Linked DNA regions of Mus musculus. The protein of the gene in region 3 purifies or fractionates together with the protein of the main gene of each other region. This does not show direct contact. Links are inferred from orthologs where the notes say so. Each region holds a gene or a part of one and is shown on either strand. Other genes may lie near its edges.

Region 1 (4,207 bases), on a different chromosome or scaffold from region 3:
AGAAAGAAAGAAAGAAAAAAGAATCTTCTGGAACTATCTCAGGTGAGCATGAGGGAGACAGTCCGGGCAGATACAGACTTCTATTTACTGTGAGCCACACAGAGTCCCTACAAGGTCACAATAGTCTTTGGGGATTGCAGGCCTGTGCTGCTGTTGTCTGGTTTTTACACTGAATTCTTGGACCTGAACTCAGGTGGTCCTGCTCCCATGACAAGCACATCACCATTGAGCTATCTCTGCAGCTCCAAGAGTAGGACATTATAAAGGGGCTTCACAGCAGGCAAGACAGGAGTTACAGGAAGGGCATAGGGATCAGGATACCTGCTAGGCTCAACTTCCTCCTTCCTCCTCATATAATCGTGGTGTGGTGCTTCCAGCAGTAAGAATATCCAATTAGGAAAAGTCGGAGACCCTGGCATAACAGGCTCAAAGGATCACTAAGGGCTTAGTGGCCAGCACAAACTCAGAAAGTAAATCATGCCAGTGCTGTAGATCCTGTGCCTGCTTCCAGCTTCTTTAGGCCCTGAAGTCACGTACACAAACCCACCTGACACATAATTAAACCTTTGTTTTCGAGACAGGGTTTCTCTGTATAGTCCTGGCTATCCTGAAACTCTTTGTAGACCAAATTGGTTTTGAACTTGAGATCTGTCTGCCACTGCCTCCCAAGTGTTGAGACTAAAGGCGTGCGCTACCATGCCCGGCAAAATATAAATCTTTTTTTCTTTCTAAAGGTCGATGGTATATCTCAGTGATTGCCTAACATGCAGCCAGTCCTGTCTTCCATCCCCAGTATCCTGTAACCCTGGTGTGGTGGTGGCACACGCCTGTCATCTCAGTACTTAAGAGCTAAGAGGAGGATCGGGAGTGCAAGATTATCTAAGGCTGTGTGGGGAGTTAGAGATCAGCTTGGGCTCTATGAGACCTAATATTCAAAAACCAGGAGTAAGTAATAATATAAATAAACAGAAGGGATGGGGTGTTGACGCAGCTTCCGCTTCTCCTTCCATAGAACGTCTATAGTCGCTTCAGAAGAGATGTCTTTGCTCCACGTCGGTCTGATGTGATGTTGTGGAGCCCCAATGCTCAAAATTCTTACCCAGAAGGAGCATATCGGAACAGGAGCCGAGTGAGGTGTGATTCGCCAAAACCATCACCTGCCGATCCCGCCTTCTGGATGGCGTAAAAGGATGTGAAAGACGCAGAGGCCTGGGAGTGCACGCGTTCGCAAGAACGCAGCAGAAACCCAGAGTACCGCCGGCGCAGCTTCTCACGCTCCAGCGCGTCGGGGAACAGCGGCCGGGCCGCCGCATGCGCAAAGAGGCTCACGCGCATGCGTCTCACTAGGCCATCCTTCTCTGGAGTCCTCACGCAGTCCCTTCCCGCCCTCCTCCGGTCTTCACTTCCGGTGTTTCCCAGCGACAGCCGTAAATGGCGCGCGAAGCGGCCCGCGAGGCCGTCGTAAACGTCGCCCTTCGCGCCACTTCCGGCCGGCTTCTGTGGCCGGTGCTGGTAAGCGATCGTGAGGCGGCGGAGGACGTTGCCAGTGGCTGCAGCCATGGAGATGCCGATGCCGCCAGATGGTGAGGCCGGTCCCTGAGCTGAGGTCGTTGGGTTCTTCTCGTGTGCCCCCGCCGGCCAGCCGTGCCTCCTCGCGTTGCCGGGCCAGTGACGGAGCGCGCTGCGGCCTCGCCGCTCCTCCCTCGGCCTCTCCGTGGTTCCCCGCATTCCTGGCGCGCGCTTGGCCCTAGTCAGGACCCGTACACCACCGCCTTGCAGTGGCCCGCCCCAGAGGACCCCGGCCTGGTCCCCGGGTCAGGCTGCCCCCACTGACGCCTTTTCCTCTGTTTTGCAGATCAGGAGCTTCGAAATGTCATCGATAAGCTCGCTCAGTTTGTGGCTCGCAACGGACCCGAGTTCGAGAAAATGACGATGGAGAAGCAGAAGGACAACCCTAAGTTCTCGTTTCTGTTTGGAGGCGAGTTCTACAGTTACTACAAGTGCAAGCTGGCACTGGAGCAGCAACAGCGTGAGTTCCCCTCAGGCCCTCAGCCGCCTCGGGGTTCAATGCGGGCCCCGCCGCAGCCAATTTCTTTAGAGTTGCAAGTTTCCTCTGCAGAGCAGAGCAGCCGTTCTTCTGTCCTACCCGGAGCCCTGTACCAAGATAGACTGCTGGATCTGTGTGTCATAAGGAGAGACTATCATATATTCTCTATCCAGGCTTTTGGGTCGGGAGTGGTCCCTGGGTGGTCTTTGCAGAGGCAATTGCGGATCTGCAGGAAGGTGGGAACTGTGCAAACTGTGCAGCCTTTCTGCAGGCTGAGACCATAGCTTTCTGCATTTCAGGTGCATAGATCAAAAAGCTTTCCCTTTAGTTTTTGCAACGTTTTTCTTTTCCTTTTTTTTTTTTTTTTTTTTTTGCTTTCGAGATAGGGTTTCTCTGTGTAGTCCTGACTGTTCTAGAGCTAGTTTTGTAAACTAGATTTAAACATCAAGAAAAATATGATTAAAAATAATAGAAATAATAAAAAGTTTAGAGCCAGGGATGATGGGACCACCGCTTTAATCTCAACACTTAGAAGGCAAAGGCAGGTCGATCTCTGTGAGTTTGTGGCCAACTGATTGTACAAGTTCCAGTACAGGCAAGACTACATAGACTGCCTAAAAAAAAAAAAAAAAAAAAACAAAAGAAAAAGGAAAATGAGTGAAGAAGCACAGCTGGTCTTTAAGGGCCTCACACCATATCCCAGGTTGGCCTGGCAGTATGTTATCCAGCCTAGCTTCCAGTTCAAAGCAGCCTTCCTGCATCAGCTTTTCAGCATACCCAAGCTTTGAATAGTAACAGCAGATTTTATGGTTTCTGAGAGCAGAACTCACATCTGTCATATCTAGGGTAGCTCTCTAGTCTCTGAATAAACTGTGGAAATAAGTGTCTGGACTTGCAAAGCCAATGAGTAGTCAGAGTGATAGTGGCTGAGCTACAGTCCTCTTTGATGCCAAACATACTTGGTTATACTCCAGCAATGTATTGTAGGTGGTTGATAGAAAGCTTGTAGGGCAGGCAGACTTGAGCCCATGGAGCACAGGGACTTGAAGAAGGTATGTATTCAGAGAGGAGACATCACACATGTGAACTGAGGGGTTTTTCATATGCCAAGGAGGGGTAGGACTAGAGTCTATTGATCATAAGGTTTTGGTTCCTATTCAGTTGTGGTAGAGGTTGACATCACCATCAGAGTGTCTGTGTCCTCATGCGTGTTTAGAGAGGTCATTCCTTAGCCCCAGAGCACCAAGTTCATAGCCATCCTAAAGCTGATGGCGGTTGAAACAGATTCCAGCAGTGTGTTCTAGTGGACAGACTGGAATTAGGAAAGGTGGTGATCATGAACATGGAAGTGGGAGAGGTCGAAGGTAGAGCCATTGAGGATGGGTAAGGGATGGTAAGTGAAAGGAGTTTAGACCGTGCCTTATTATATATCCCTATACAGGAAGCCTGTGCCCACCCCTGTACAGTCACTTGTTTAGGCTTTCAACTTAAAACCATACCTGGGGGTGGGTGGGTATGGGGGACTTTTGGTATAGCATTGGAAATGTAAATGAGCTAAATACCTAATAAAAAATGAAAAAAAAAAACATACCTGGAAATGGAGAATACATGTAAGCTTTGGCACATTAGGGATTGGGAGACAAGAGGACATTCTGCCAGCCATAGCACAGTAGAATGAATATATTGGACATGACAGGGACAAGGCAGGCTGAGGGTGGTGGGTGGTGGAAGTCAAGAGAGATTGGGTTTAGACACAAGGGAGATACGCAGTAGAGAGGACCTGCTTTGCTGAGGAGCTATGAGCATTGCTTAGAAGTAACAAGGCTCAGAAAGGGCTTCAGGTCAACTAAACCCAGGACTGTTCTAGAATGACATTTTGTAAGAATTGTGGTAAAGCACTAGTCAGCTGGGTGTGGTGGTACATACCTTTAATCCCTGCACTCGGGGGACAGAGGCAGGTGAATCTCTTGAGTTAAGGCTAGCTTGGTCTACAGAGAGTTTTTTTCCCTTTTTTGTTTGTTTGGTTGGTTGGTTTTCTTCTTCTTTTTTTTTTTTTTTAAAGATTTATTTATTATTATATGTAAGTACACCGTAGCTGTCTTCAGACACTCCAGAAGAGGGAGTCAGATCTTGTTACAGATGGTTGTGAGCCACCATGTG
Region 2 (3,938 bases), on a different chromosome or scaffold from region 3:
GGCTGAGGCAGAGGTGCAAATGTAAACGTCTGCTAAGTTTCTTTACTGAGGGGAACCGTTTCTCACTGGTGACAGTGATAGTGGAAAGGGATGGCCCTGGAACATTCAAGATGTGGTACTCCGAGGGCTGATGCAAGCAGCCTGGAGTGCTCCTGGCCCCTTCCTTCCCTAGCTCCCAAGCAGCAGGGCGAGCTTTCTGGGCTCTTTCGGGATGATTTCTCCACACTGCTGGGGTCCGCACGGTGGAGAGCGGACTTTGGGCCCAGCAGTGTCGAGGAGATTGTTGTGAAGTGTGAGAGGTAGTGGGATGAGCACCGGGCTTGGGGTCAGGGGACTCTACTGTGGGCTATCTGAGGCACCGCGCTGTGTACTTTGTCCCTGTAATTTAACTTCTCTGGGTTCACTTTATCTGCTGGAAAACCAAAAGGTTAGTTTAAAACACCGTCCGGGGAGGCAAAGGCAAGAGTCGGGAGGGAGAGTTACTGCACGTTTGCAGCTAGCCTGTTCTCTGAATGCAGCCGGTCCAAGCCGGCCTACGGGAGACACACTGAGACCCTGTCTCAAAACACAAAACCAAAAGCAACCCGCCTCCCAAACTCAACAAAAACCACCTCTTGGGTCTTTTCCAGCAGGGAAGCCTAGGCTCTGTGATCTTGTAGAAACTCGGCTTCTTAGCCACCACATGGAGCTGTCACAATGGAGGGACATTTTTTTTTTTTTTTTTTTTTGCCACGAGAGGCCCTTGGCCACCATTCAGAGCTTATTCAGAATACACACTTCTAGCAACACTGTTTTCACAAAGTCTGATACCACAGAGAAGCAGCAAATAAAAAGGGCCCAGCAGAGAGTTGCAAAAGGTAGACACTTTTGACAGAAGCCAGTCGATACCGTTTTGATTCAATGAAAGACTTGATAAGAGTGTCTATCCCGCGTTGGGCCCAGTACCCTGGGCTGGAGGCATAATGACCAAGGCGGCCCAAAGGGCTAAAACCTTTTAAGGATTAAATGTATGAGGAGGGAGGTAGTAAAATAAAAAGTAGAGTGGGGAGGGGAGTAGACGAAAGTACCAAAAACAAATACAAACCGGGAGAAAAAAAATATATCTGTATGCAATGGTTCTGAATAGTTCTTACGGGCAAAAATTCACCATTTCAAACATGCCAAAAAGGAGCACACGCGGTTTAAAAAAGGCATAGAGAGAACGTCTCTGGTAGGTTTTAGAAATATCTCCATTCAAAACGATTAAAAAAAAAAAGGTTAAAAAAAAAGTTTTGGCACTTAAGGGAGGGGTAAGCTGGCAGTGTATTCACCCTGGCAGGCAGTCGCGCCTTCAGTGCCCCGCCACGCTGGTGAGCTGAGCTGTCACGGAATTGTGAACTGCTTTGGGACACTGGGCAAAGGCGTGTCCTCTTTTGCCACAGAGGTTGCACACGATGACCTTCCGGCAGTAAGGGCTCAGGTGCCCCTCTTCCCCGCACCTGAAACACCTGTCCTGCGTGCAGGTGCCGCTCATGTGGGTCCGGGAACCACACTTAAAGCACGTCTTGGGCTGCCCCTTGTACCAGCTGTAGCCCCTCTCCGCTCCCAAGAAGAAGGCCCCGGGCAGGTGCCTCACTCCGCCCTCCCCCTGGCGCAGCTCGATCTCGCACTTGTACTCCCCGGTCCAGATCCCGAACCTGTCGGTCACTTTCACGGGCACGGCCAGCACGTCGCAGTGGCGCTTGAGCCAGGTCACGATGTCCTCCACGTCCACGGTCTCGTTCCGGAAGAGGATGAAGAGGGTCTTCAGGCTGGACCTGCTCCGCCCCAAAACCACAAAGTTCTCCCAGCAGTCCTCCAGCTCTCGCTTCTCCTCGTAGACGCGGAGAAACAGGGCTAGCTTTTCGGCGGATCGGAAACTCACGTCGAACTCGCGGCTGCCGGGGATCTGAATGACCGCGTAGATGTCGTCAGGGTCCATGCCGATGGAGCGCAGGATGAGCGCGCCCACCACGAAGTCCCGGGTCGGACAGGCACTTTCGTCTCCCTGGAAACAGATGCGCACGAGGAAGCGGCCCTTACCCGGGCCGGCAGCCGGTGGCTCGTCCTGGAGCGGTCGCTCGGTGGCATCTTCGGTCGTGCCGGGCCTGGCGGGGGTCGCCATGGCCGCCGTCACCTCGGCCTTCTTCCTTCGACTCGGGTCTCCCGCGCCGCTCGCGCTCTTTTTCCTGTAAGCGTCTGACGCCTCACCCGTAGGGTCTCTGCGGCGGCCCTTTGGGTCCCCGCGAGCGGCGGGTGGGAAGTCGCCGGGGTTCGGGGTGGCCAGGCCCCCGGGGCTGCCGAGCCCGCCACTTGCACCGCTGCCAGTTTCGTCGCGCCGCCGCGGCTCGCGGAAGTCGCCCTTCTTCTCCGCCAGGTTCTTGACCACCTGGGCCCAGCCCATCTTCTCGCGGACGCCCTCGGGTTCCTCGACGCGGGCCACGGGTCGCGCGGGGAGCGGGAGCTGAGGCCGGCCCCGCTGTGACTCCTCCTCCGCTCCGCCGCCGGTGGCCATGTTACCTCTTTCCCAGCATCCTCCACTCGTTCCCGCGGTCCGAGGTGCCCATGGCGCGCTCCCGCTCGGGATGAGGGATGAGGGCCGCGGGCTGCGTGGGCGACTCCCCGCCCCCGCTCTGAAACCCGACGCTTCTGGCTTCCGCCCTCTTGGAAGTCTTGCGTGCGGGAATTCGTGCCGGCCGGAGACGGCTCGTCTTGACCCCGGCTCGCCTCCCCTCTGCGGACGAGCGCCCGCCCTACCGCTCTCGAGGGTTTGGCATTTCTCAAGCAGGCTTCAACTGCATTCCAGGAGCAGTGCTTCCTGCGCGCACTGTGAGGGCTTCGCTACAATCTCGCTCCTCTTTTGAGTGGCTTCTGTGAAATAGCAAAAGAAATGGCGGCCCCCAGATCTCATCACATTTTTTCCCCACCAATTTTGATAACCTAATCAACACTTTCCAATGTACATGATAGGCATTTTCTCCCTCTTAGTGGCACACATAATAAACCAGATTAGACCCGATTAAAAGTAGGTAAAGGCAGGTTTATTAGGAGGCAGTTCTCATGTGAGTCACCGATCTCACAGGTGGAGGTCAGCGAAGTTACACATCTGGGCTAAAGCAAGGGGGTTTTATAGAGTTTAGGGGAGGAATGGTATCCATACATGGTCAAAAACTAAGTCCCTGGGCAGGCACTTTTGGGTGGGTTGCTGGGAGATGAATGATAGCTGGGGAGAAGAGTGATATGTTAGCAGGAGTTTTCTTCAAGGGAGGAGGGGTTGGGAGAAGGAGGGCAGACTGAGTTTTCCTGCTTGCTCAGGAAATGAGGGGTTCCAGCCTAACATCCCAACCTCTTTGAGTATAGGGGCAACGATTCAGATCTGGCTACTTCCTGCTGAAAAGGGACAGCCTGGGGTGGGAGAGTCCGGAGTCGGCGGAGTCGGCGGGGTCCTGCTCATTGGGAGGTAGGAGTGTGGGAGCATTTGGTTGACTGTTACTTGGGAAATCCTATGAATCTCTTCCTGGAGGAAGAGGAAAAAGCATGGTGCTAACAGAAAAAACAAAATTAGTATCATTTGCCCTATGAACAGGGCTAGAAGCCATGTGAAGAGTGAAGACTAGCTTCAGAAGGGACAGTATGACAGGGTTTCCACTCCTGGAGTGGAGCCAGTGGGGTGTGGGCCTTCACAAGTGTTGACAGTTGCTGCAGGTGTGAGGCTTCTTTGTATAATAATAATTACATGTTTTCATGTTCCCCTTTAGGGGAACGCTCTCCCTGCTAAAGTTAATGACTCTATGATAGTTAGAAACAGTATGCGTCCAAGAGGGGAGACTATGTTCTGTGTTCCTCAACAAAAATGGTAAATGCTGAGACCTTCAGGACCGCCCTTGAAGCTGTGGAAAAGAACTCTGAGAACATGAGTT
Region 3 (3,940 bases):
ATGGTGACTGAGAACAGGAGGGTCTGGGAATTAGAGTGTCCCGGGTCTTGGAGGAAGTGCCTCCACCCACCAATCTATTCTCTTCCACCAACGGATGGGACAGGACGGGACGCGGCAGGCAGGGGCCCGATGAGAACACAGCTACCACAGAGGGCATTCTTCGAGGTTTCCACATGCTCTCTCAGGGAGCTGTACCTGGAAGCAACTTTAGGTGTAGGCTTAGGAGGGAGCGAAGGACTCTTTGCACAGAATCAACTAGGAGCTTGTTTCTCACTGGGACAAACCCAGAGAAACTGTTGTTGAAATTTGGAGATTGAGGCATCCAGTAGCACCCAGAGACAGGCCGAGTTTGAGAGGCAGCACCTAGGTTAAGACAGATCAGCTCGGTGGGGTCTCCAGCCGCTTCCTTGCACCCCTATCCCGGCTTCCTAATGTCCAGAACTCCAGGTCTATCTAAGCACACGGAGGTGGGGGGTGAGAGCAGGTCAGCGCCAAGCAGCCGGGTCAGCTCTGAGGCCTGAGGGGAAAGAGGGGGAGGGGCGCTGAGGGGCTGGGGGAGGGGGAGGGCTCATCCATTTCTCCCTTGACAGGTGGTTTGTGTTTCTGATTGGACAGCGCCACCAGGCTCACACCTCCCTCCCCCAACTCTCTGGAATGTATAATTATCTGCCCGGGGGGTGGGGGTGGTGTGTGTGTGTGTGTGTGTGTGTGTGTGTGTGTGTGTGTGTGTGTGTGTGTGTGGTCACGTGGTTATAAAACTACCCCCCCCCCGTTCCCCCCCACCTGTGTCCGCTTTGGATGCCCGCATTGAGTCCTCAAAGTGCAGGATCCCAAATTCTGGGGTACTGAAGACTTCCAGTGCAAAAGATCCCCATCTCCAGATGTGTGTATGTGGAGGGGGTGTCAAATCTCAAGGTTCTGGGAAGGGACACCCCAGAGGTGTCAGAGACCAGAGCAGTGGGGGAGGGCCGAAGCCAGAGCCAGAGGGAAAGGGAGGGGTAAGGAGAGAGGGGAGGGGAGGGGGCTGCCCGCGGGGGGTTGGGTCATTGTCTTTTAGAATTTGGGAGCCTTTGAAAAGCCGTGGGCCCTCCCACCGCTATTGTGCGGGGGAAGATGTAGCAGCCTCTTCTCCGAACCACCCCTTTGCCTCCGGACTTCTCTGGGGCCAGCAGCCGCCCGACCTGGGGCCCGGGGCCACGGGCTCAGCAGACGACCATGGGCTCGGTGTCCAACCAGCAGTTTGCAGGTTCGAGCTTGCGATTCAGCGGGCACACCTTAGGGTGCAGGGAGCCCAATGTCTAAATAGAAGGGAGGTGGGAAAGTGTCCCACGGACTTGTCCGCGGGACCCCCAAGTCCCTATGGCCTCCTGCTTCTGGGGGCCATCTCTGGACTAGGGAACCCTGGTGTTCCAGTGGCTTGTACACCGAGCCCGTGGGGGCGGAGGGAGAGAAGAGGAGGGGCCTGTCCCTCCGCGTGTGCACGGGCAACTTGTTGTGGGAAGACAAGCAAAACTTTTGGGGCGTCAGCATCCTCTGTGTAAGCTTGGGGAGGCAGCCAGGACAGGTTTCTTCTTACCAGCTGCTTGGTAGCTGCCTCCTCCTGGGTGTCTATCCGCGGGCTGACCACCGAGATCTCCCAGACGGGTCCCTGAGAGGGCCTGCGATCCCTTGGCCCCCAGCTGATCACCTGGCCCTCCCTATCTCCAGGTGGCTGCGCCAAGGCAGCGGAGAAGGCGCCAGAGGAGGCGCCGCCTGACGCGGCCCGAGCGGCAGACGAGCCGCAGCTGCTGCACGGGGCCGGCATCTGTAAGTGGTTCAACGTGCGCATGGGGTTCGGCTTCCTGTCTATGACCGCCCGCGCTGGGGTCGCGCTCGACCCCCCGGTGGACGTCTTTGTGCACCAGGTGAGACTCATTCTGGAACTTTGCTAGGGGAAAAAAAAGAAAAAGGCTGGGAGTTCCGAGGTACGGCCTTGGCTGGTGGCCCCTCCTGTCGGATTGGAGGAGATAAATACCCCTCATTGTGCGTCCCCATATTTTTCGGGACACCCCAGTTTTGAGTTTGTAGTAACTGCAGTTGTGCGAGGAGGCACTGCTGACTACCAGCACCCCCTCCCCGCCCCCTTCCGGGAACCCCTCCGGCTTACCACGTGTCTATTACCTCTTTCCCCTGGGAAGGGAGCAGGGGGCAGGGAGGTGACCCCATGTGGCAGAAACTAAGGTTGTATTGTGCTTGCCGGTGGGGGAGGGCCAGCAGGCCGACCAGGGAAGCACATGCAGGGCCTGAGCCGGGCGTTAGCGCCCTGAGTTCTAAAGGTCTGAGTCTAATTCATAGGGAGGAGAGAGTGTGAGCCATTTGCTACCCAACCTACGGGCGTGAACCTGCGACGTCAGGTTCTTCCCGTTTCAATGCAGACCTCAAGTCAGGTGGCCACCCAAAGCCAGGTCCTGTAGCCAGTGTAGGTTTGGCAGGTCCCGGAAGGATCAACGTGTGAGCTGAAAAGCTCCCCTAGAGGTCTGGCTACAGATCAGGGCTGGCAGGCACCTCTAGCTGTCCACCCGGTTCTGCCAGGAAGGAAGACCTTAAGATCCCAGGCCTTCATTCCTTGGCCGTGGCAATCCCAAGTTCGCAGTTAAAGAAGGGCTACACAGTAGGGAGTGAAATTCAGTGTCGAGGGGGCAGGCGGTAGAGGAAGACTGGCCTCTGGCCCTATTCTCCTCAGCTTGGCATTTATGGCCCCAGACAGCCATTGATTGCTGTCCCTAACATTCCTAACCCTAAACAAGGAAGAGAGTAGAGCCTTCAGGTTTCCCTCTTCCCGGCCATTCCCTTTCTTAATATCCTACCGGGGGCGGGGTGTGTGTGTGGGGGAGTGGTACCATTCCACGCTGGAAAGGAAGTTACTGCTCCTGCCCTTTTCCACATTTGGTGGGTTAAGGCTGGGCCAGGAAAGAAGAAAATTGCTAATCCCTGGCCTGCGAGCTTGACACCCGGGCCGGGCAGGGAGGGGTTACTTCAGGGAGGTTAGCTTTAGGAGCTGTGGGGGAGGGGAAAGGAGGATGTGGGGATTAAGGGTTGGAGCCTGAGGGATGGCGTTCTTGAGGGGGAGGGGTGGGGAAGGAGATGCTGGGTGGACTGGTTGGGGGCTGCTGGGAAGGCTGAACCCTGCCCTCCAGTCAGAGGTTGGGGAGTGGAAACTAAGTAGATTTGGGTTGATGGAATTTGAGGACCAGCTCTTTGCTGTTGGTGTCCTAGGGTCACTAGGCTTCTGGAATATGTGTTTTGTTTCTTTTTTAAGGGACCTGGAACAGTACCTTTAACTTTTCTGCACCGCCCCCCCCCATCACCATCACCAGACTGCTGGTTTCTGGATGGTGGCTTTGTGCCCCCCATCTCATTTGCATATGTGAATGATAACCCACAGGAAGTAATTGTGAGGCAGAAGGGAATTGGCCTCTTTAGATCTATTAAATCACTTTATTGCAGGAACCCGCACTGAATGGCCCTCCTCAGCGGGGGGCAAGCCTCCCCGATTCGGCCATTTATCTGATCCCAGAGATGAAAATTTCCTGGGCTCGAGATGGTTTGGGGAACTTCTTCAATTTTTGGAGGCTGGGGTGTAAAGGTGGCTTGAGCACTTTCCTGACTCCTTGCAAAGGCTAAGTAGGGAGGTGCCCGGGAGAATAGGTACCTTCTGATCTGAGGTTCATTGCTGTTGGGACAAATGGAGACGCTGTGCCTCCTCACTTAGGAGCCATACCAACTGGGAAGCTATAGGACATCTCAGGAGGCAGCCTTCAGTACAGACTGGCTTGGAGACCTGCCTGCGTTCGTTCGTGGGCTTTGACTTTGGTTTCTTTGGGGTTTTTTTGTTTTTGTTTTGTTTTGTTTTTGAGACGAGGCTGGTGGTGGTGGAGGTGTCTCACTGTGTAACTGTGGC
Region 4 (4,257 bases), on a different chromosome or scaffold from region 3:
TATTATGCTGTCAACTTAAAAAAAATAACAAGGGCTTGGAAGAAGTTGAAGTGAGGCCAACAGCCTCTTTCCAGTGAAAGGAACCCAGACCCACACACCCATGTGTGAAAAGCACTCTTTGAAAGAAGCTCGAAGCTCATAACCATTCAAACATAATACTAACTACATTTGATTCTCAAAGAGACTGGAATGGGTGCACCATTATGAGGCATCAGTTTGCATACAGAGAATTTCCCTTAAAATTTGTTCAAAACATAGTCGAATCCAGTGGTTACCAACCTTCCTAATGCTGCAACTCTTCAGTATAGTTCTGCATGTTTCTGTGATCCCTGAACCACAAAATCATTTCGTTATTACGTCCAACTTTGCTACTGTTATGAATTATAATGTCTATATACATGTGCGTTCTGATGGTCTTAGACGACCCCTGTGAAAGGTAGTTTGACCCTCTAAGGAGTCACAATCCACAGGTTGAAAACCACCGATCTAAGCACCTGAAGTATTGTTCTCAGTTTTACTAGGCATATGCGGGTACTCCTCTTTCCTTTATCTGGCTTATTGACCCATGTGCTTATTAAATATTTCCTGGAGGTTGGGGAGAGCATGGTCCAGAAGGAGAGGTCCTAGTGTGTTTTCAGACCCTGGTTACATCTCTTCACATCTTAGCATCTAATTTAGTGAATATATTTTTGTGCTAATATTTTTTTGCTGTTTTTACTGACTATATTCTAAGCCTTTTAAAGCTATGATGTAAGAATAATAAACAATAAAGTTTTGGTAATAGCTCCCTCCAGCCCCCACCAAAAAACCCCAAACATTTGAATGCTGAAGACCGGTGTGGTGGTACACACCTTTAATCCCAGATTCTGGAGTCATAAGCAGGAAGATCACTATGACGTTGAGGCCAGCCAGGTCTACATAGCATGTTCCAGGCTAGTGAAGGATACACAGTGGCCTCGATTCATAAACCCAAAATAAACAAAACAAGCAAGCAAACAAATAAATAAAAATAGAACAGAAAAGTCTTTTAAAACCAATCTGGAAGTTGAGAGATTTAAAATGCAAAACTCATGGTAGGTTTTCAAATGGGCTAAAGAGTGGTAGCAAAGTTTGGGTAGATTTTTGATACAATTCGCCATTTTCATTAGATTTCTAATCCCCCTCAAATAAGAATTTTAATAATTTCCCCTCCCTTCTCTCCCTCACCCTCACCCACCTCTCTTCTCTCTCCTCTCCTTCGCTCCCTTTCTCTCCCTTTCCTTCCCTTCCCCTCTCAAAAAAGAAGTTCCCACAGGGCTATACAAGTAGCTACAATTTAGAGCTTGATACAAGAAAACTACCATTCCCAGCGTGCAACACCGAGGTTGCAATGCATCCTGGGAAGGAAGTGTCACGCTCCCCCCCGTCCCCGCCCCATCGGCTTCCTGTTCGTCAGAGCAGAGACCACGCAGGTCTCATAGGGATTATCCGGAACTCGTTTTGCCTTTTACACATTGTAGCCGGCGGGATCTTAAAGAACAGTTCCACTTCCGGGGCCGCCGGAAGCAGTTTTGCGATGGCAACTTCTGCGGAGGCGCCTGCCAAAGAAGCTCAAAAACGTGACTCTCAGCCGCAGAAACAGAAGCGTGAGACCCAAGGTGAGGCAGTGCGAGACCCGAAGCCCGGAGCTGGCGGATCTCGAAGCATCTTTGTCTCTTTCTTTGGCCGCGCACTTGGGTTGAGCCTCTTTTAGGCTGTGCAGTGCCTGCGGTAGCCGGGGTAGCCGAGGGTTGCGGGTGTTGATGGCTGCGCCGGCCACGTGCAGCTAACGCAGTGTTTTTGCCAGCGACCGTCCCTGGCAAGTGTACCCGATGCGCCTTCTGTCCCCGGTAAAAGTGTGAGGACTCAGAGATTGTGGAAGGCGCGGCAGTTCTGCCTTGAGCTTTGGGGAGGGGAGGTTGAGAGGATGCGGATCAGGATCAGGTGGGAGAATCTTCGTGTCCTGCGAGCGCCGATGGTGATGAGGGAGGCGGACGGGGAAAGGTGGGGACGGAGCTCAATGGGAAGTTTTGTCAGAACTTTTATCTGATTATTAAGTTGCTAAATGACACAGCTCTCAGTCTTTAGCTCTAACCCCTAGTTTGATTTTTGGCTGCTCTAGTTTGATTGCTTCTTTCCGTTTTGATGAGAGTTTGGTTTTTACCTACCTTCAATTTAAAAAGAAAAATTTTTTTCTTTTAAAAACTAAGTACGTAAAATACGGCAGGGACTATAGACACCGGTAAAAGCTTCAAACCAACGCTTGAGGAATTGACAGGATGAGTAGACCATCTTCCTCAAGTTATCCATGTGCCAATCACAGATGCTATATAGCTTCCTTTCTGGTACCCGGAGTAATTCGTTCGAGCTTTCTGTCACCTATCTACAGCTATTATGATTTTTAACAAAACGCTTCGATTTTTGTCTCCTTTTGAATCATAGGAGAATGAATGGAGCTGTGTACTCTATGTATGTTGTCTGTGTCTTTAGCTTCTGATTCTTTACGATGCTGTGTAATATTTAAATTCCGTCGTTGGCGGACATTTGAGCTCTGCCTTCAGCTTGCTCTTGTAAGCACCTTTGTGCATGTCTTCTGGTAATGCCTCAGGGTCTCTGTAGGAATTTAGGATTGGAAACTCAATTGCAGGGTATCTTCAAGTTATGCTAATGCTACCGGAAGGAGCTGTGCCAGGTTTTTTTCTGTTTTAGGAAAGGTTTGTTTACGTTCAAAGCGTGAGGGTATAGTCAACCATGGAGGGGAAACTGGGCCAGCACAACTCTAATAGTTGAGATTGCTCATCGATCTAAATTTACAGTGATTTTTTTTGTTGTTGTTGTGTTTTGATTTTGAGGTCCTGGATGTACTTATATAGCTAGACTTTCACCCTAACCTAATAAGCAAGTGATATTCTTGGTCCTAAGTGGCCTTAGTTCCCTTCCCTTTCCTCTACTAGGGTTCACACATTCTGTCTTAGGAAGGTTTAACCCTGGGCCTGAGTTTGCTTGCTTGCTTTTTGTTTTGTTTTGTTTTGTTTTGTTTTTGTTTTTGTTTTTTTTTTTTTTTTGTTTTTCGAGACAGGGTTTCTCTGTGTAGCCCTGGCTGTCCTGGAACTCACTTTGTAGACCAGGCTGGCCTCGAACTCAGAAATCCACCTGCCTCTGCCTCCCAAGTGCTGGGATTAGAGGCGTGTGCCACAACCGCCCATGTTCCCAGTTTTTATAGGATTTTAGTTTGCAGTTTTTAAAAAGAAGGTATTGGAGAATGAGTGGTTTATGAGGACCCATTGTCAGGAGTTTGAACCAGAAGTGGCAGAGTGAGTGGAAGTAGAAAGTACATTTTCTTACCTGTGGCTAATAACGTGGGCCAAGGGCCTGCCTTTCAGACCTCGGTGGTTTAAGGACAGGATGACGTTTAAGCACAGATCTCTGGGCCTCACCCCAGAGATGCAGATTCACTCTGCCTGAGATGGAGCCCCAGATGGCCTTGCCCACAAACTCCCACAGGTGTGCTGACGCTGCAAGATCAAGGATGGTTCTCTTCGGGTAGAGTTAACGTGTAGCTATTGGATTTGAGGGGTTTCTAAAGTTCTGGGACAGGGAGTTTTGAGAAGTGAAGCAGGCTCTCCAGAGGTGATCTCATAGTTGTCAGGATTTTAGGCCATTTCAGCATTTGTCCTTCTGGCCTGTCACTCCTTTTGGTTTGAATATCTTCTATAAAGTAGAAATAGTAATAGTGGCTTTCTTTTATTGATGAAAGGTGTGTATAAAGCTCTTTGGAAATCCTAAAATTGTATTACAGTGGCTGTTAATTGACATTGTACACCAGAATCCATTTTTAGGAATTTTTTACACACACAGACATGTGGGGGTGGGGGTAGGACTGTACCAAGAAAGTCAGAAAGGCTATTAATAATAAGGGATAAAAGTGATAAGGTGTTTGAACCACTTTATTGTGCAGTGAAAGTGTCTTAGTAATTGCTGTCTACCGGTGCATCCCAGTTAGAGTGGGTACAGGGAAAGCATCCTTGTGATGAGGCAACTGCAATGTATTCAGATGATCCTATTACAGCATCATGATGATGATGGGGCCGTGGTCATGATGCTGAATAATGTAACAACCAGGGATGCGGATATGAAACAATGCATTGGTGATCTTCTGAAGATGTGCATAGAGTGCGCACGTGTGTGAAGGACCATTCCATGTGATGTGTGAATTCTTTCCTCTGTAGATGAGGCGGA

The links. Proteins that work in one complex are often made in the same cells at the same time.
Region 1: the proteins of Lin28a (region 3) and Cherp purify together in Homo sapiens (co-immunoprecipitation; 3 studies listed by BioGRID and IntAct, with this or other methods). This does not show direct contact. The link is inferred for Mus musculus from reciprocal best matches to the Homo sapiens genes LIN28A and CHERP.
Region 2: the proteins of Lin28a (region 3) and Zcchc3 purify together in Homo sapiens (co-immunoprecipitation; 3 studies listed by BioGRID and IntAct, with this or other methods). This does not show direct contact. The link is inferred for Mus musculus from reciprocal best matches to the Homo sapiens genes LIN28A and ZCCHC3.
Region 4: the proteins of Lin28a (region 3) and Krr1 purify together in Homo sapiens (affinity purification with mass spectrometry; 3 studies listed by BioGRID and IntAct, with this or other methods). This does not show direct contact. The link is inferred for Mus musculus from reciprocal best matches to the Homo sapiens genes LIN28A and KRR1.

The regions. Positions count from the first base shown.
Region 1 is NC_000074.6:72,472,434-72,476,640, reverse strand, and holds the start of Cherp (calcium homeostasis endoplasmic reticulum protein), read left to right. Parts: upstream 1-1,407; 5' UTR 1,408-1,558; coding exon 1,559-1,583; intron 1,584-1,855; coding exon 1,856-2,029; intron 2,030-4,207. UniProt on the Homo sapiens protein: Involved in calcium homeostasis, growth and proliferation.
Region 2 is NC_000068.7:152,412,245-152,416,182, forward strand, and holds the start of Zcchc3 (zinc finger CCHC domain-containing protein 3), read right to left. Parts: upstream 2,801-3,938; 5' UTR 2,534-2,800; coding exon 1,331-2,533; 3' UTR 1-1,330.
Region 3 is NC_000070.6:134,016,017-134,019,956, reverse strand, and holds the start of Lin28a (protein lin-28 homolog A), read left to right. Parts: upstream 1-1,140; 5' UTR 1,141-1,215; coding exon 1,216-1,246; intron 1,247-1,707; coding exon 1,708-1,904; intron 1,905-3,940. UniProt on the Homo sapiens protein: RNA-binding protein that inhibits processing of pre-let-7 miRNAs and regulates translation of mRNAs that control developmental timing, pluripotency and metabolism.
Region 4 is NC_000076.6:111,971,238-111,975,494, forward strand, and holds the start of Krr1 (KRR1 small subunit processome component homolog), read left to right. Parts: upstream 1-1,457; 5' UTR 1,458-1,555; coding exon 1,556-1,637; intron 1,638-4,247; coding exon 4,248-4,257. UniProt on the Homo sapiens protein: Part of the small subunit (SSU) processome, first precursor of the small eukaryotic ribosomal subunit.